Tribolium castaneum: one gene and its partners. The protein of the gene in region 3 binds, or shares a complex with, the protein of the main gene of each other region. Links are inferred from orthologs where the notes say so. Each region holds a gene or a part of one and is shown on either strand. Other genes may lie near its edges. The genes, in order: eukaryotic initiation factor 4A-III; RNA-binding motif protein, X-linked 2; ncm; spliceosome-associated protein CWC27 homolog.

Region 1 (4,399 bases), on a different chromosome or scaffold from region 3:
ATGGGGACCTTTATTACGAGGGCAAAGAGTTTGAAACCAGATTGAAGGAAAAAAAGCCTGGAGATTTATCAGAAGAATTAAGAACGGCCTTAGGAATGCCTGTGGGCCCTAACGCTAATAAAGTACCCCCACCATGGTTGATTGCAATGCAACGTTATGGTCCCCCACCCAGCTACCCCAACTTGAAAATTCCGGGATTAAATGCCCCCATCCCTGATGGTTGTGCCTTTGGGTACCATGCCGGTGGGTGGGGAAAACCACCGGTGGACGAAAATGGAAAACCATTGTACGGTGATGTGTTTGGAACAAATGTTACCAACATAGATGTAAGTATTTTATAATATTGTTTTATTGAATTTTGTTCAAATATCAATGTTTAGGACATTGGTGAGGACCCTTCCGTGGATCGCACCCTCTGGGGCGAGCTCGAGTCCGAATCAGAGGAGGAGGATGAGGAAGAGGAGGAAGACCAAGACAACCAACAAAACGCCGCTGACGAATCCGGTCTTGTTACTCCAGCTGAGGGCTTGGTGACACCTAGTGGTCTCACAAGCGTGCCAACTGGCATGGAAACACCCGAAGCTATAGAATTGAGGAAAAAGAAAATCGAGAGCGAAATGGAACAGTAAGAATTATTTTGTCTCTAGGGGGGTATTTTAAATTGTTTTGTAGGGGTGAAAACCCGATTTTGTATCATGTCATTCCCGAAAAACGCAATGAGAGAATAGGTGGTTCCATGATGGGGAGCAGCCACGTTTACGACATGTCTGCTGTGGGCGCAGCCCCTGCAACTAGTCGCAAACCAGGGGACAAGGAAGGAATGGTTGAGTTGGCTCTTGATCCGTCTGAGTTGGATATGGATAGCGATGCAATGGCGGTTCGTTACGAACAACAAATGAGGGAAAACCAGTCACAGCTGCAGAAGGAAGATCTCAGTGATATGTTAGCTGAGCACGTCGCCAAACAAAAGGTAACATATTGTGTAATTTGTTGATTTACCTAATTGTTTCGTTTTAGAATAAACGCAAGCGCCAACAACAGGACACAAAACAAACGAAAAAATACAAAGAATTCAAGTTTTAGTGCATTTTCTGGTATGAATATTTGTCATTCTGATTTTAATTTGGCGAGAGAAATATTAGGAGTAGGAAAAATCATAGTCGTTTATTACTTCCCATATTAATTAATTAATTATTACACAAACTTCTTACATAATATAAGGACATAAAAAATGTTATTCGTTTAAATTAAATCAGCGACATTCATCGGCATTTCGTCAATCTGTGTGGAATAATACTGCTCAATATCCCGCAAAATCCTGATATCGTCCGACTTGACGAAATTAATCGCAACACCCTTTCTACCAAACCTGCCAGATCGCCCAATACGGTGAATGTACAACTCACGGTTGTTCGGCAAATCGTAATTAATGACCAAACTGACTTGCTGGACGTCGATACCTCTCGCCCACACATCGGTCGTGATAAGTACACGACTCTGTCCCGACCTGAACTCCTTCATAATATTATCTCTCTCCTTCTGGGGCATATCACCGTGCATGGAACTCACGGTGAAATTGTTTTCGCGCATTTTTTCAGTCAACCAATCGACTTTGCGTTTAGTGTTGCAAAAGATAACAGCTTGCGTGATGGTTAAAGTATCGTACAAGTCACAAAGTGTGTCAAATTTCCACTCCTCACGCTCAACCGCGACGAAAAATTGCTTGATGCCTTCAAGAGTTAATTCATCACGTTTTACCAAAATACGGATCGGGTCCGTCATGAACTTCGACGTGATCTCCAAAATCTCGTGGGGCAAAGTCGCAGAAATCAACACGACTTGAGTGGAGGGCGGCAGGAACCTGTAAACGTCGTAGATTTGCTCCTTGAAGCCTTTGTTTAACATTTCGTCGGCTTCGTCCAAAACCAGCATTTTGACGGACCTGGTCCTAAGGGCGCGCCGTCTGATCATGTCTGAAAATTAAGTTTTTTGGTAGGGGAAATTATTTATAAGATAATTATAAGTACCGTAAACTCTTCCAGGTGTTCCACTAACAACATGTTGCCCATAATCCAGCTTCCTGATATCCTCTCCCAGATTGGTCCCACCAATGCAGGCGTGACACTGCACGTTCATAAAGTCCCCCAAAGCCAGGATAACTTTCTGGATTTGCACGGCCAACTCCCTCGTTGGCGACAAGCAAAGTACTTGGGTTTCCCGCGTTTGCAAGTCAAGCGACTGCAAAATAGCGATCGAGAATGTGGCCGTTTTGCCGGTACCTGACTGGGCTTGAGCGATAACATCTCGGCCCTTTATTATCGGCTTGATAGCCCTCTGTTGGATAGCTGATGGTTTCTCAAAACCTGAAAGCAATGACCTCAATCCGAGCCGCACTGACCCACATTTTCCTATTACCATATGCAAAGACACCGCGAAGGAGCTCCTCCTTCAGGTGCATATTCTTAAATTGCTCGATGACTTCCACATCTTCGCTGGTTTCGAACTCAACGTTCGACAAGTCTTCGAAAGCCGCATTGCGGTTTGAAGGTTTTGCGACAGCCATTGCCTCCGTCAGAAATTAGAACGTGTGTTAAAGTAAAGTTTAGATGATTTAATTGAATGTCCAGTTCACTGAAGCACAACACTTGGGGCACCTGTCTTTCACAAAGGTGTTTGCATTTTTGGGGCCACTTGCACGTCCCCAACTGGTTTGTTTGTAGTATTGAGAGAAATAAAACACTTATTTTTCACCTTTACTAACTTTTAAACACTTTTTCGCCCGTTTAATGTTGTTTGCACGCGAGTCGCTACGTCTTTTAGCGTTTTTTGACATTTGACAAAAATATGGCGTCCACTTAATAGTAGGCAATATACAAGATTGTCTTGTATAATTGGTTGCCTGTGCATACTGTTAAAAAAATACAATTTATAGGTTACTGTAGCAACCCATAGATGGCACACAATTTTTTTCTAGATTACTGTAAACATGTACTTTGACCTACCATACTCAGATGTCGCCGCTTACGTTTTTTGGTTTTAATTTTTTTGTGTAATCTAAAAAATGTAATAAAGATCTAGTAAAAATTTTATAGAATTTGTAATTTACAAAATGCGAAATATCTTCGTTCTCGTACAAGATAGAGGGGTGGTTTTGCCCTTTTGAAAACCCAACCGCCCCGTAGTATTTTTCCTGGGCTATCGAATAGGCTAGGTCCCGTTCCCGTATCTCCATCAGGAACCGAAATAGCATTGCACATTTTTTAATCGGGAATCGAAGTACATGACGTAATAGTGCTCCAAAAGTTACGTGTGCATGCAAAATTTGAAGTTGCTACGACAACAGGAAGTGCCTCAAAATTAACTCGTAAAATATGATTCAAAATAAATCGCATTAAATAAAGTCTGTGAACAAACAAGCTGTAGTTTTTTATTAGAATTTTTATTCAACTTGCTTTGTTTGTCTTTCGGAGTTATAAATATTTTGAACTTAAATTTAAGACACTTCCTGTTATCGTAGCAACTTGAAATTTTGCATGCACACATAACTTTTGGAGCACTATTACGTAATGTACTTCGGTTGTTGATTTAAAGATGTGCAATGCTATCTCGGTTCCTGATGGAGATACGGGAACGGGACCTATTCCATTCGATAGCCCAGGAAAAATACTACGGGGCGGTAGGGTTTTCAAAAGGGCAGAACCACCCCTCTATCTCCTACAGGAACGGAGATATTTAAGATTTTGTGAATTACAAGATTTTCTTCAATTTTTATAAAAATTTTGTAAACAACCTAAAATTTTCTTTCACATTTCAAAATTTTTATAGAAATTTAAGGAAATCTTGTATTTCACAAAATGCGAAATATCTTCGTTCCTGTAGGAGATAGAGGGGTGGTTTTGCCCTTTTGAAAACCCTACCGCCCCGTAGTATTTTTCCTGGGCTATCGAATAGGCTAGGTCCTGTTCCCGTATCTCCATCAGGAACCGAAATAGCATTGCACATTTTTTAATCGAGAATCGAAGTACATGACGTAATAGGGCTCCAAAAGTTACGTGGACATGCAAAATTTCAAGTTGTTACGACAACAGGAAGTCTCCCAAATTTAAGTTCAAAATATTTATAAATCCGGAAGAAAGTTCAATAAAAACTGCTAATAAAAAACTAGATTTTTTGTTAAAAGCTTTTAAATAATGTGATTTATTTGGAATCATATGTTACGAGTTAATTTTGAAACACTTCCTGTTATCGTAGCAACTTGAAATTCTGCATTCACACGTAACTTTTGAGGCACTATTACGTGATGTACTCCGATTACCGATTTAAAAATGTGCAATGCTATTGCGGTTTCTGATAGAGATACAGGAACGAGACCTATTCCATTTGATAGCGCAGGAAAAAT
Region 2 (3,854 bases), on a different chromosome or scaffold from region 3:
TATGCAATCGTAACATTAAATTTAATTATTTTTACAAATACGCGAGAAATGAGCTAGGGGCTGACGCTATCGCGACCGGACATTACGCAAGGACTAGTTTCGGGTCTTATCTTGAACATTATAACCCGGAAAAGGGTCTGTATCCAGTCAAAAAAAAAAACAATTTATTACAACAAAAAAACAGGGGTAAGACTACTAAACGCAGTTGATTGGTTCAAAGACCAAACGTTCTTCTTGTGCCAAGTCAATCAAGAAGCTTTGCAACGTACAATGTTCCCATTGGGCGATTTAATGAAGCCGGAAGTGAAAAAAATTGCAAGGGAAAACGGACTTGAAAAAATCGCAAGGAAGAAGGAGAGTATGGGGATCTGTTTTATCGGCAATCGCAAATTTCAAGACTTTATTAGAGAAGTAAGTGATTAGTTCACAGCTTCCGTGATTGGCCAATTATTTCTTACTTTAATTTTTGTTGTTTTCGAAGTTTTATAAATTTTTTTTAATTAAAAAAAATATTGTAGTCAAGCACTAACGTGGCTCCCTCTAGGTGAAGGGAGGCCTGTCATTGGTCAAAGAAGCTTTGCACTGGTCACTTGACTAAACATTTTTTTCAGTATATTGATGATAAACCGGGCGATTTCGTGGACGTTGACACTGCGAAAGTCGTGGGTCAACACAATGGGGTGCACCAGTGGACTTTGGGGCAAAGGGCGCGCCTCCACAGCTACGAAAGCCCTTATTTCGTGGCCCGGAAAGACGTAGACAAGAACATAATTTACGTAGTCAAAGGGACAAAACACCCGTTACTTTACACGAACATAATTTTGACCAGTGAGCCCCACTGGATCCACTCACAGCCCCCTGATTTACAAAACGGGGTTTTGGAGTGCGATTTCAAGTTCCAACACACCAAATATTGGGTCAAATGCCAGGTGTGCCAAACAAGTAAAGGACTGATTATTAAAGTGAATAGGTACAAGAGGGCCATCACTCCGGGACAGTTCGCTGTCTTGTCGAAAGATGGCGAGTGTCTCGGAGGGGCTCGAATAATTAACACGGGAGTTTCACACTTCTCGCTATATTATTTGGAGAATAATGGTCTAGGGAGTGTCTCCCACATTTTGAAAAAATATGTCAATGTGACGCAAGGTGAAGACGAGCTTACTGATAATGAAGATATGAAGCACAGAGCTGTAAATAGATGTTAGTAAATCAGCGCTTTTTCTTATTCGGACTCCGCGACCGCTTCCTCCTATCCTCGTCCTCTGACACGCTGTCTTCAGCGGAGTAATCCGACCCTGACTCGCCCTTCTTCTTCTTTTTCTTCTTCCTATCTGAATCGGATTCGCTGCTGTTTTCGTCCGACTTCTTTTTCTTCTTCTTCTTTTTCTCCTTCTTGTGTTTCTTTTCCTTCTTCTCTTTCGTGACAACAGGCTCCGGCGGCGCCTCCTCGTCCACTTTCTCCTTTTTTATCGTGTAAATGGGCAAGCGCTCAGGCAACTTGATCTCAGAATTAATCTGGTCGGCCAGTGTTTCGCGAAAATCGTCAGGGTCTGTTTTAATCTTCACTGGCGCTTTGACAGGAACTTGCACAGGGACGGCCTTGGGGGCACAGCCCTCATCGTACAGTTTCTTCGTCTCAGCGTCCGTTTTCTTGCCCTGTTTGGGCACCTTGTAGTTACTGACGTGGTCGACTCGTATCGTCCTGTTCAAGATTTTGATTCCGTTGAAATTATCAACGGCCAAGTCGGTCGATCTTTGGTCCTCGTAGCACAGGAAACAGAAGCCCTTTGACTTGCCCGAGTCCTTATCCCTGATCAGGTTTATGTTCACCACTTCGCCATACTGCGAGAAAATGCAAATTATGTCGCCCTCGGTCAGGTCGAAGGGCAAACCGCCGATGAAAACCCACGCACTGTCCCTGTATTGGTCATGCCAGGAGGTTTTATTACCGGTGTAGAGCTCCTGTTCGCTCAGTTTCTTCACATTTTTCATGTTCCTGGAAAGACAACTTCGCAAAATTGGGGCAAAAAATCGACAATACTTACGTTAACGGATTCATGGTGCGTGATTGTGGGGCCTCTGACCCCGAAAAACATGAACAAATACAAATAAAACAAATGTTCAAAAAATAGGTTAGGTATTTGACGTACGTTTGACGTTTGTGTTAATTGCGTTAAGGTGCATTCACACCGCGGCTGGAACTATTAAGGCGACTTCACATCGGTTTGTAAATTTATTGCCGTTTAAAAACATATCACAGGTGCATATGAGATCATAAAACGTATAAATAGAAACGATACAACTTATAATAAAATTGATTGTGCTATCCGCCCACTTCCTCACTCCTTAAATTGGCAAGTAGCTCGATTAAATTGGCAATTTTCAACGCCAACTCTTTGCTTTCCGCTTGCAGGGCGACAACGCGTCGATCGGCATCACTGTCACTCCCGCTCTTTTGTTTTTCCAGCTCACTTTCGACTTTTTCGATTAGAGCATCCATGGCTTCAAGCCCCGTTGTCAGATTTAACATCTTCAAATGTTTGCGGGGCTCTTCACTACTCCGCACAAAATTGATTTCGTTCGATAATTGTTCCTGTTGTTGATCAACTGATAGTTTTGTACTTGTGACAACTTCATCAGTGTTTAGTAACTTTTCGATTTTGTACTTGTTTTTCAAAAGTTCGGCATAGTGGAAGAGGAGTTCGTCCTCGGTCTTGGTCAAGGCGTAACCTTTCTCGCCTTTTCGGAACCTGACATCGTCCATAATCGACGATAGGTATTTTCGGCGGCTTTTCAATTGCTGTTCCTTCGCTATTTGGTGTCTTAAGGAGGCCAAAATTTTGTCTTCTTGGTGGAATTTTTCGCGCAGGTTGGCCACCCTTTCGTAGTACTCCTGGACACGGGTTTGCTCCTCCAACAATTGATTACGAATCGCGCGTTCCATTTCTGACAATTTATTTAATTAAAACCCCAAAAAATGTACAAAAACTTACCCAAAATTCGCTTATTCTCTTCTTCCTCCACTTCGAAATTTTGCAACCGCTCCAAACTAATCAATCGGCGTCTGAACAAATCAACCTCGTCTGTTTTCAACCCCGCCATCTCTCTCTTCATCTCGGCCTCTTTATCCGACATCTCGATCATGGTTTTGGGGTAATCACAAAAATTGGGGTATTCCCCCAAATTAATTTTCTTGAACATGTTCAAATATTGCCGTGGGTGCACGGCCTCGCCCGTCTTGGCCAAAATGTGGTAACTTTTCGTTAGCAATTTTTTAACATCTATGGGATGATGCGTTTTGTAAAAACACCGAAATTGTTTATCGTCTTTAAGACTCAAAATGGAGGTTCGTTGTAAAATATTGTAAGCCACGACTCCACACAGTAGAAACGAAGGTTCGTTTGTTAAAACATGGTCCCAGAAAATTTTCCAGGATGGCGCTGTCAAAACCTCGGAAAATGCAGTTCGCAAAATCGGCCATGCGTACAATTCGGAAGAGACTTTTTTTCTGGTTAGGAAGTCCAAAAGTTCGGGGTCGTGTACCATTAGGACGTTTTCAATCATCGCAAGTATGTTGATTGGAGGGAGAGGGAAGTACTCGAACCAGAATTGACACCAGTTCACTGCGATTATTCACTCAGTACCCATAGTGTGGTCCTTCGAGCCGGATCAACAAAAATATGGAAAAATCTTAATTAGAAATATTTTGTTGTAGCAAAAACAGTTTGAAAACAATGAGATTTTAAATATTTTCAGTTTTAATAAGACTATTCCATAATTTTGCCGCTCATTGAATAAAAAAACACTTACAAATTATCGTGCAAACGGCCTCAAAACACGTCAACGGCTTGTTA
Region 3 (5,207 bases):
ATTTTTATGGTAATGTTTCTTTTAAATGTTAAACAAATGACATCACGTTTACATAATTCCACGACCCAAAAAAATACAATACAATTTTTCGACGAAAACTAATTAGTAATTATTGCAGAAACATGTTAAAATGAGTAACGATAAGTGGTTTTTTAATGACTTATTTGGGTCGATAAGTTGACCACTAAAAGGTTTACTCATTATTGCGATTAGAGCAACGAGACGACTTTTGGAGGCCTTATTTTCGGTCTTGTTGCGCATTTTACGATAACCCTTTTGTGACCTTTTTATCGGAACTGCACCCAAAACTATAATTAAAATTCTTTCCCCTAACTACTCAAGCGAGTGGTCAATTAATTTCTAAAAAAAGAGCGATTTGTGCGAAATAATTATTTACCATGACTGCAAGTTCCACTTGTAATTATTCCAAGCAAGATGATTAACAAAAGTCGCAACCTTGGGCCCAGCACCTTTAGCACCTACACCAACCCGGCACGCTTTTTTACTTAGAAAAAGTACCAAAAATTGGGCAAAATTTTGGAAAAATGGGAGAGGAGAACGCGCACGGTATCGGCACCGAAAGGTTGAGAACCAACTGAATTGCTATAGCATGGGTACTCTCCATAAAGCAGCCTCGGGCTCTTTTGTACGGATTGGTTTCGTTGGTCGATCTTTGAAACAGCTGGAGCTGGGTTTAAGTTCACTTGGCAGTGACCTTGATGCCTCGAAAACGCTGCATTCGCACTGTTTATTGTTCAAACTGTTTAATAAAATATGGTACACGCAAACATTTCACATATTCATGGGAGGCCTCCGCGAAATTCCGCAAAATTAAAATGCGTGACCTTATCGTTCTCCGCGCCGATTTTTTAAAATCCACAAACTGAATAAAATACCTTGTAACACTTTCAGTATGCCGTAAAAACGCTCTTTTCACCGCGGAAGTATTGTTGAGAAATCTTTGATCGAACTTGTTATTGTGCCATAAAAATTTAATTGTACGCTAGAGCTGTTATTAGCCACTATTATCGGTTTTTGCTTGTTTTTGCACCAACAGCCATTTCTCTTCAAGAAAAAGCGAAAGTCTGTGTCAAGTTATTCATTTTATGGGAACACATTAAAAGTCGCTGTCGAAGTAAATATTCTGAAAATATCGCGACCTGAGAACCATAAGGTTCTGACTATTTCACAATTTTACAATATCATATCTTGTCTTCTCAATTGCCTGAAATGTTATCATAAAATATAACACGTATTATATGTTAATCTACAAACAAACAATACACAATACAAGAAAAAAATAGCAAACTTTTCAGACATGCTCTACTTAAAATTTTATTGTTTTGAACTTTTAAATCAATATTTAAGGTTCCAAAGTAACAAATTTTGCCAAAATTACTTCCATGTAGGTACTTTTTGTTTTCTATCAATAGCTAAACGTTACATCATCTAGTTTTCTTTTATTTAACATTTAAAGATCATTAAAATCCCAAAATTCCCAGGTCGTGATATATTTTTTAGGCAAACGTGACCCCCAAAATCACATTCAAATTTTTTTGAAATTTTAGATTTGTCACTAATTTAGTAAGTCTGTAAATTTTCAAATATGTCTGGAATTAATAAAACCACCAATTCCTGGCCCTCTAGTTATGTTATAATTGCGTAAACACGTACATATAATTAATTATAATTTATTCTAAATGCACAAAAAAATCTGGCGACTTTAAAATTCAAAAATAGTAGGGAATTTGTCATTATCACCAGTGCCACATAACCTCAACCTCTTGCGTTGTTGTGTGTTGTCAATAATCGCCCCAATTTCTTACTGTGTTTTTGTGAGTGCTTAAAAAATGACCACCGACACCGAAACCTCCCCACAGCCCAAACCCAAGCGTAAAAGCCGCTCCAAATCCCCTGAATCCCGTAAAAAACGTCGTGACGACTCGCCCCATAAAGACTCCCGGAAGCGTTCCCGCCGTTCGCGTTCACGAGACCGTCGCAAAAGTCGCAAATACCACGACTTGGACCGCCCCCTTGAAGAATACCCTCGGTATTACGGCGAGGATCAAGAACACAAGAAAAACAGCGATAGATATTGGACCAAATACCCCCGCAAGGATGACCATCAGGTGGGTAGTAGGTATTACGGGGGCGAGCCCGACGATAAAGACAAAGAGTCTGAGAAGGAGACGGATAAGTCGGTGATAGCCCCCCGTGAGCGCAAAACCGTGGATTTACTGACACGGACAGGTGGGGCTTACATCCCTCCAGCGAAGCTGCGGATGATGCAAGCGGAGATTACTGATAAGAGCTCGGCGGCGTATCAAAGAATTGCGTGGGAGGCGTTAAAAAAATCCATTCATGGGTTTATTAACAAGGTGAATACGTCCAACATTGGGATTATTTCGCGGGAATTGCTCCATGAGAATGTGGTAAGGGGGCGCGGACTGCTCTGCAAGTCCATAATACAAGCGCAAGCTGCGTCCCCAACTTTCACAAACGTGTACGCAGCCCTGGTCGCTGTCATCAATTCGAAATTCCCTAATATTGGAGAATTGTTACTGAAACGTTTGGTTTTGCAATTCAAGCGCGGTTTCAAGCAGAATAATAAAATTATCTGCATTTCGGCCACGACTTTTGTGGCTCATTTGGTTAATCAGAGGGTTGCGCATGAAATTCTCGCCTTGGAGATTTTGACTCTTTTGGTGGAGACGCCAACTGATGATTCGGTTGAAGTTGCGATTTCGTTTCTGAAGGAATGTGGACAGAAATTGACTGAGGTTTCGAGTAAAGGCATTAATGCCATCTTTGAAATGTTGAGGAATATTTTACATGAGGGGAAGTTGGAACCGAGGATTCAGTACATGATTGAAGTTATGTTCCAAATCAGGAAGGACGGGTTTAAGGATCATGCCGCTGTTATTGAAGAGTTGGATTTGGTGGATGAGGAGCACCAGTTTACACATTTGATTACGCTGGATGATGTTAAGCAATCAAATGCTGAGGATATTTTAAGTAAGGAAACTTTTTAATTAGGTGGAACTGTACTTAATTTTTTATACAAAAAAATCGGGGTATCCAGGTTTTGAGATTTTTTATTATTATTTTTTTATTTCTCAGAAAAAATTATTTTGAAATTTTAATTAATTAATTCCTTAATTTGCCTCGTTCACTCTGTGATTATCCTGTCTAGATGTGTTTAAATTCGACGACAACTACGAGGAAAACGAGGGGAAGTACAAGACTTTGAGCAAGGAAATCCTGGACATGGACAGCGAGTCGGGCTCCGGCTCGGAGGAAGAGTCCGGTGACGAGGAAGACGACGAAGACGAGGACGAAGAGGAAGAAGAAGGCGCCCAAAAGAACGAATCCAACATAATCGACAATACGGAGACCAACCTCGTGGCCCTACGCAGAACAATCTACTTAACCATCCAATCAAGTTTAGATTTTGAGGAAAGTGCCCACAAACTAATGAAAATGGAACTGAAACCGGGCCAAGAAATCGAATTATGCCACATGTTCCTCGACTGTTGTGCCGAACAACGGACTTACGAGAAGTTTTACGGATTATTGGCACAGAGATTTTGTCAAGTGAATCAGATTTATGTCGAGCCATTCCAACAAATCTTCAAAGACACGTACGCCACAACACACAGACTTGACACAAATAAATTGCGAAATGTTAGCAAGTTTTTCGCACATTTGTTGTTCACCGATGCGATTGGATGGGAGGTTTTAGAAATTATGAAACTGAACGAAGAGGATACCAATAGTTCCAATCGGATTTTCATCAAGATTTTGTTCCAGGAATTGGCCGAATATATGGGCTTGGAGAAGTTAAATGCCAGGCTTAAAGATGCGTAAGTGACTGTGTTTGATAATTAACGAGGTTTTGTTAATTTTTTGGATTTTTTTCAGAACGCTTCAGCCACATTTTGAGGGGCTGTTTCCGCGCGATGATCCCAAAAATACAAGATTTGCGATTAATTTTTTCACGTCGATTGGCTTAGGGGGGCTTACGGCCGAGTTGAGGGAACATTTGAAAACAGCCCCTAAAGTCAATCCCTTGACGATTACTGAAAAATCAAGTGATTCTAGCAGCAGTAGCACTAGCAGTTCAAGCTCATCCAGTTCCGATAGTAGTGATTCGGATTCGTCAAGTTCCGAAGATGAGAAACCACGTAAGAAGAAGGAAGAAAAGAAGAGGAAAAAACCGACAAAAGAAGCATCAGACGATGATAAAAAACGAAAAACAGATGCGAGGAAACACAGACATAATGAGAGACGGTCACGCGATCGAGACGATCGGAGGCGGCGTAGGAGCCCCGAGAGGAAGCATAAGAGTAGGAGATAAGTTACTTTGTACATAAATTGTATTGAATAAATATTTTTATTTGTGACTTGTGTTTGATTCCTTAAAGTTACCAGATTTGAATTTGGCGCTTAGTCAAACCCACACTTTTGGCATTTTTTTTGACGAAATGTGGGTGTTAATTAAATTGCGTGTTTGTGCTTTTGCTAAAATGAGACAAATTTGGGTGAAAATTTTAATTTTGGGTTAGTTTTAACTGAAAATTTGGGTGAACAAGGCTTGGTGGTTTTTGTTGGCGAGGTTGGCAAGCAGTTTCGTCGGGTCCGAGCTGTCATTTTGTGTGTCACTAATTTTTGTTCATTGTGTAGTAAATTGGTGCTATCGTGTTAAAAACAATAAATCCGATCAAAGGTATTTTTATGAGGAAGAAAAACAGTAATCGTATTAGTGCAACGTGAGCTATTTAACCAAAGTAAGTAGCTAGAGCCAAGTCGGTAGGTTAGATGAGTGGAGACGATGTTTTTTTTATTATGTCAAATGCGTCATTCGCATTAAAGTAAATCTCAATGTTTCGTGTCGGATTGTAACGGGGTCCTGGACCTGTTGATTGAGGCGTTCGCGGGGCCCCTGAAAAGTCAGCTGATTTCGGACAACGACGCCCTTGAACCCCGGAGCCTTGAGAGCCATACGCCCCCTTCTTTTTTAATTCCACGACACGGTTATCAGCTCTCTTATGTGTTATAGGTCATTGCTGTGAAGCCCCTATCGGGGATTAAAGCCGCACAGACTGGCTTGCATAAACAGATAATTACGAACGTAGTTATGACCACTCGACAACTACCAGAACATTTACCAGAGATAAGAGATTGTATTAATCGCAGAACAAACTTGT
Region 4 (4,507 bases), on a different chromosome or scaffold from region 3:
CTCACTGTCATTGGGAGTGGACCTCCAGCTGTTCGCAGTCATGTTCATCGGAGTGCTGGACAGTGGCGAACTTGGAGGACTAGGACTATTTGAAAACGAATGTGAAGGTGTTTGAGCTGTTGGCGCATGTAACTTATCAACAACTTTAAAATTTGGGTCTAAAAAACATAATTAACACTCCCCTTTTTCTAAGTTCCGCACCCAAACCTGAATCACTGATTCCTAACAGTTTCTTCTGCTCCAAAGTGATTGGTATTTGCTCATGATTGAAATTTGAGATCATAATTTTTGCAGCATAGTACAAGAGATTTATGCTTACTATCAGAACGAACGCATATTTGATATAGTCGTAAATATCAGTGTACAAAGGACATGAATTTGCTCTAAAAACACAGTTATGGGAAAAAGAAGGTTAAGTGAGCAGTTTGTTACATATCATAAAGAAGGACTGCAAGTATAAGGAGGTTCACGGAGCCCCAGATGAAGCTTTTACGCACAGTTCGCCGTGTTTTATTCACGGAAAGGCTCCGTTCTAGTGCAAAAGAGTTGTTTAAAACGTTACGATTTGGTCTAAAAATAATCAGCTGTTTTTCTTAATACTGATGGTTTTTTACTTACGTGCACACACTCATGCTTCTCACTATTGTCTATTCACGTACACAAAAGTTTCATTAATTTTTCATACTAGTTTAACATCAAACACCGGTCCCACAAAATTAAAAACGTAACCTCAATTCCGAAAACGCGCGCATCTGCTCATATAATCCTACGCGCATAGAGTCTTATAATATGTAACAACTAAAATAATAATTTAATTAATTAATAATAATTTATTAATTTAACACAAACTATAGTAGAGTCATTAATAATACTAATGTGATTGTTATTAAAGCGAGTGCTAGAATGGTAAAATGTAGGTAAAAAACTCGAACTTTACGTTTATTTGAAGTTTTTGCTCTTTGGAGCCTTTGCTACACCAGGATAAGGCGGGAAAAAAAAGGTCGCATAAAATTACAAATCTTTATTTTTAATATAGCAAACAACACTATTTCTTGAACTTCTCCACGGTTTCTCCACGTCGTCGTTTATTCAAAGCGTTTCTAGGATCGTAAATTTCAAACCAATCGTCATCTTTTCTATTGGCGTCTTTTGCCAAGACTGGGTTTTTGTCCTGGAAGCACAGTCTGTGCTTCAACCACGCTTGTTCTTCCTCATTGTCTTCTTCATTCTCTTCCCCGTCTTTCATTGACTGTATCTTCTTTTTGAACTTTTCCAACAAATTCAAAGTGAACTGTTCTCTCCCAGCTCCCTTTTTAGGTAATGCGTCTTTTTTATTTTTGTATTTATCGAACTCGTCTTTGTACTCTTGTATTGTCTTGTCTTCTTGGACCTTCTTCTCGGTTGCAATTATGTCCTCTTCCTTCTTTTTCAACTTATTTTTATGGTATTCCTTTTTAACGTTCTGGATTTCTTTTTGGATCTCCTCACTGTAAATAAATTAATCGAAAATAGAAAAATAATTAATAGTCACTCACAATTGTTTTTTCTTTTTCTCGCGCCTCTCTTCCTCTAGGAATGACTCATATGTATCTATCGGTTCCGCCGTTGTTGTGGAAGTTGGTACAGGTTTTTTGTGTTCTCTTTTTAGTTTCTTTCTGATGCTCTCTAACTGTTCTTCTGGATTAACTTCTTCCACGTCATCATTCTCCTCATCTACGTCCTCCGTTTTAGAGCTCAATTTGGGATCATCTTCAATTAAATTTAATTAAAACATTTCCACACCAATTATTTGAACTGTGTACCTAACACATCGTGTGTGGATTTGCCTTTGCCCACAAACTTTTCATTGACCCTCGTTGACTCTTCCTCATCTTCCTCAGCCTCTTCCCCAAACGACAATAACTTAAAATTCCTACAACAATGATTTTACAACAAATTACACAAAATATTTGACTGACTTGACTCCTGGCTTTTTCTCTTTCTTTTTCTTCTCCTTCACCTCAACCTGTCTAAGCCTGGGTTGGATGTCGGCAAATGGATTGTTCAAAACTTCCGTTTTAATGATTTTGTGAGGGTAGATCGGCCTTTCGTCCCTTATTAACCCATCCTCAAGCTTGAGCATATTAAAAATCGTGTCTCCGGTAATTTTCCCAAAAATCGTGTGTTTGTCTTGCAATTCGGGAGTCGCCCCCAGGGTGAAGAAAAACTGAGACCCGTTGTCGTCCTTGCCCCCGTTGGCCATCGCAAGCAACCCTCTTCGCGTAAAGCGGAGTCTTTGGTGAAACTCATCTTTGAAGGGCTCTCCATAGATTGACTCTCCGCCTGTACCGTCACCATTTGGGTCACCCCCTTGGGCTATAAAGCCCTTAACAACCCTGTGGAAGATAGTGTTGTCGTAATAGCCCTCAAGGCACAATTGTATGAAGTTGCGGCAGGTTTTTGGCGTTTCTTTTGCCCACAATTCGACGTCTATGTCACCAACTGTTGTTTTCAACAACACCTGAGACGAAAAATTTGATTGTAGTGTTCGTAAGACGAACGATTAAATACCTTTCCCGAAGTTGGGGGCTCCAAAATATAAACACTACTCATTTTTAAAACTTTAGAATGTTTATTATATTTTGACAAGTGTCAAAGAATGAGGTTAAGCTACGAAGTTTGGTTGTGTTTAAAGTGCCAAGCTTCGCCACCTTAGTCACAATTTAAAATTTGGTTTTTCAAATTTTGTTCTTAAAAAAAATACAAATTCAAAGTCATGGTTTTGTGTATGAATTGAGTTCAGTTTTTTTCAAATACTTCACTGTTTTAATTGTTTCATAACAATTTTTTTTTCAATAGGATAAATAAGGAAATAAACGAAGGAGCGCCAGATGCTATTATTATCTTTTTATTTTAAGATTTGAATAAATACGTATAATAGTAAGAATTGCGCGACAATAAAGAATTAAAAAAACAATGAGGTCAAATTTAAATTTTCTGGAATTGGACTTGAACTTTCCCCTTTATCGTTAGTTTTCCACATGGTGACAGTGAAAAATAATCGGAAAGTGAAAACTAAAACAGATTAGGCAGTAACTAATTGTTGTTTATTTTGTGTTATACTTATGATATCAATATTGTCTGTCTATCGCAGACTTATCTAAATCAAACGTTCTCCAGATTAGAACTAAACGCTTGTTGAATTAAATATATTGTCAAACTGTGTTAGCTTAAAAGTGAACTCGAAATTCAAGTACTTGTGTCCAACTAAAATTAGAATTAGTTCTCGACTAAAAGCGGGGAGAATCACCATTGAGCCACAGCGCGCGTTTCACGCAAGATAAAGAAATCCAATGATAAAAGTTTACAGAAAATTCTCACAGATAAGTGTTGGTATTATAAATATGAGTATACACCTGTCTGCGAGGACTTCCTAAACGTGTGAATATTATGTTATTGTTGTTTGGTCGCGGAGAGATATGTTGGAGTCTGGAACTTTAGTTGAAGGTAAATATAGCTGATTTATTTGCCCAAATGTTTAGAGAATCGGCTCAAATTGTTATCAATTTAATTAACATAATATAAACAATTTCGAAAATTTGTTATTGTTATAATTGGGTCAGAACATGCAATGAACTTGGACTGTAAAGAGCGTTTTTGTGAGTGTGTTTGCAATGGAAGTATGTGGCACAAGTGCGATACAAATGAAAATTTTTACGGTTTTACAAGGTAATGCGCGAATTTTTTCGGCGGAATTATTCTCCGGACTTTGGCTTGACAGGTTGGCATTATTTCAAGAGAATTATTTTATTGTGCGTTTTAAAATTAAACTCTTTTCTCATAGCATTGTCTTCGGACGAGTTATCAGTCTTATCGCCCAATTAACATGCATATAATTAAACTCATTCTCATCAAACACTATTTTGTTCAATATAAAGTATTTCTTGGAGAGAATTAAAATCGTTTTGTAGCATGTTTGAAATGAAATTTATTTTTTTATTGTACATATTTTACGGTGTTTAATTGTTTGTATTTACGGCTTTTTGTTTTATTTACGACAACGTAATATTTATTTTTTAATAATTCTGGTGGCATGTGGCAAGATGTTAATAGAATTTCAGGGTCAGTTTGAATTTATTAACCAAATAACCAAAATAAAAAACTAAAATACTACTGTGGTAGGTACTATTATTTTTACAATTTCAAAAACTAGATCCGGCTTCAAATACCCACGTATTTGGTGTCAAAAATAACTAATAATGGAAAAATAATCTCGTCCTCAATCCCACCAATTTTTAAATCGATTAGAATTATTATTAAGACTTGATTTACGCAGGATCTTTGTCAAATATTGATTGATTGGCCACGTCTTTGTACCTCTGCAAAAATACGTATCGAATTATCACTGTAATTATAAATTACAAAACAAATATTAAACACTGATAACAGAGTTCTGGATGAGTAGACCTGACATGAACCTCTGCATAAAAATAAGAAATATTTTTCTAATAATTTGATCAAAGTTTCA

The links.
Region 1: the proteins of ncm (region 3) and eukaryotic initiation factor 4A-III are in contact, whole or in part, in a crystal structure (PDB 4C9B), measured with the Homo sapiens proteins. The link is inferred for Tribolium castaneum from reciprocal best matches to the Homo sapiens genes CWC22 and EIF4A3. Residues at the interface, in NP_001362958.1 of Homo sapiens: Thr129, Gly130, Gly131, Ala132, Tyr133, Pro135, Pro136, Ala137, Lys138, Arg140, Lys164, Asn167, Gly168, Ile170, Asn171, Lys172, Val173, Asn174, Ser176, Asn177, Ile180, Ile181, Glu184, Ala207, Ser208, Ile210, Phe211, Tyr215, Lys330, Arg331; in NP_055555.1 of Homo sapiens: Met43, Gly44, Ile72, Ile73, Lys74, Gly75, Gln98, Cys99, Met183, Gln213, Val256, Ala257, Glu259, Trp263, Asp266, Thr267, Asp270, Leu271, Tyr272, Asp273, Thr274, Leu275, Thr276, Ile277, Thr278, Gln279, Ala300, Asn301, Phe302, Thr303.
Region 2: ncm (region 3) and RNA-binding motif protein, X-linked 2 share a complex: the UniProt entries of both Homo sapiens proteins name them as parts of the minor spliceosome. The link is inferred for Tribolium castaneum from reciprocal best matches to the Homo sapiens genes CWC22 and RBMX2.
Region 4: the proteins of ncm (region 3) and spliceosome-associated protein CWC27 homolog are in contact, whole or in part, in a crystal structure (PDB 6YVH), measured with the Homo sapiens proteins. The link is inferred for Tribolium castaneum from reciprocal best matches to the Homo sapiens genes CWC22 and CWC27. Residues at the interface, in NP_001362958.1 of Homo sapiens: Leu239, Arg242, Lys243, Tyr245, Arg246, Asn248, Asp249, Lys250, His270, Glu271, Val272, Leu275, Glu276, Thr279, Leu280, Leu281, Glu283, Arg284, Thr286, Asp288, Ser289, Val292, Val307, Ser308, Pro309, Arg310, Gly311, Thr367, Met369, Leu372; in NP_005860.2 of Homo sapiens: Arg381, Glu382, Asp383, Gln384, Thr385, Leu386, Leu388, Leu389, Phe392, Lys393, Lys395, Leu396, Thr397, Ile400, Glu412, Asp415, Asp416, Glu417, Gly418, Trp419, Met420, Ser421, His422, Val423, Leu424, Gln425, Phe426.

Annotation. Positions count from the first base shown.
Region 1 is NC_087396.1:14,194,342-14,198,740, reverse strand, and holds eukaryotic initiation factor 4A-III, read right to left. Parts: upstream 2,852-4,399; 5' UTR 2,564-2,851; coding exon 2,416-2,563; intron 2,364-2,415; coding exon 2,028-2,363; intron 1,974-2,027; coding exon 1,243-1,973; 3' UTR 1,146-1,242; downstream 1-1,145. Other genes in the region: Sf3b2 (splicing factor 3B subunit 2), read left to right, coding at 1-326, 381-625, 673-970, 1,018-1,083. UniProt on the Homo sapiens protein: ATP-dependent RNA helicase. Involved in pre-mRNA splicing as component of the spliceosome. Core component of the splicing-dependent multiprotein exon junction complex (EJC) deposited at splice junctions on mRNAs.
Region 2 is NC_087396.1:22,564,487-22,568,340, forward strand, and holds RNA-binding motif protein, X-linked 2, read right to left. Parts: upstream 2,199-3,854; 5' UTR 2,060-2,198; coding exon 2,046-2,059; intron 1,997-2,045; coding exon 1,210-1,996; 3' UTR 1,206-1,209; downstream 1-1,205. Other genes in the region: mitochondrial tRNA-specific 2-thiouridylase 1, read left to right, coding at 1-135, 185-411, 612-1,205; TBC1 domain family member 31, read right to left, coding at 2,324-2,946, 2,994-3,623, 3,811-3,854. UniProt on the Homo sapiens protein: Involved in pre-mRNA splicing as component of the activated spliceosome. As a component of the minor spliceosome, involved in the splicing of U12-type introns in pre-mRNAs.
Region 3 is NC_087398.1:673,251-678,457, reverse strand, and holds ncm (pre-mRNA-splicing factor CWC22 homolog), read left to right. Parts: upstream 1-1,721; 5' UTR 1,722-1,850; coding exon 1,851-3,015; intron 3,016-3,193; coding exon 3,194-3,863; intron 3,864-3,921; coding exon 3,922-4,357; 3' UTR 4,358-4,403; downstream 4,404-5,207. UniProt on the Homo sapiens protein: Required for pre-mRNA splicing as component of the spliceosome. As a component of the minor spliceosome, involved in the splicing of U12-type introns in pre-mRNAs. Promotes exon-junction complex (EJC) assembly.
Region 4 is NC_087396.1:19,898,390-19,902,896, forward strand, and holds spliceosome-associated protein CWC27 homolog, read right to left. Parts: upstream 2,697-4,507; 5' UTR 2,593-2,696; coding exon 2,551-2,592; intron 2,501-2,550; coding exon 1,959-2,500; intron 1,913-1,958; coding exon 1,803-1,912; intron 1,750-1,802; coding exon 1,536-1,749; intron 1,488-1,535; coding exon 1,046-1,487; 3' UTR 1,007-1,045; downstream 1-1,006. Other genes in the region: transmembrane protein 209, read right to left, coding at 6-158, 208-383, 433-570, 619-632; uncharacterized protein LOC658443, read left to right, coding at 3,654-3,708. UniProt on the Homo sapiens protein: As part of the spliceosome, plays a role in pre-mRNA splicing. Probable inactive PPIase with no peptidyl-prolyl cis-trans isomerase activity. As a component of the minor spliceosome, involved in the splicing of U12-type introns in pre-mRNAs.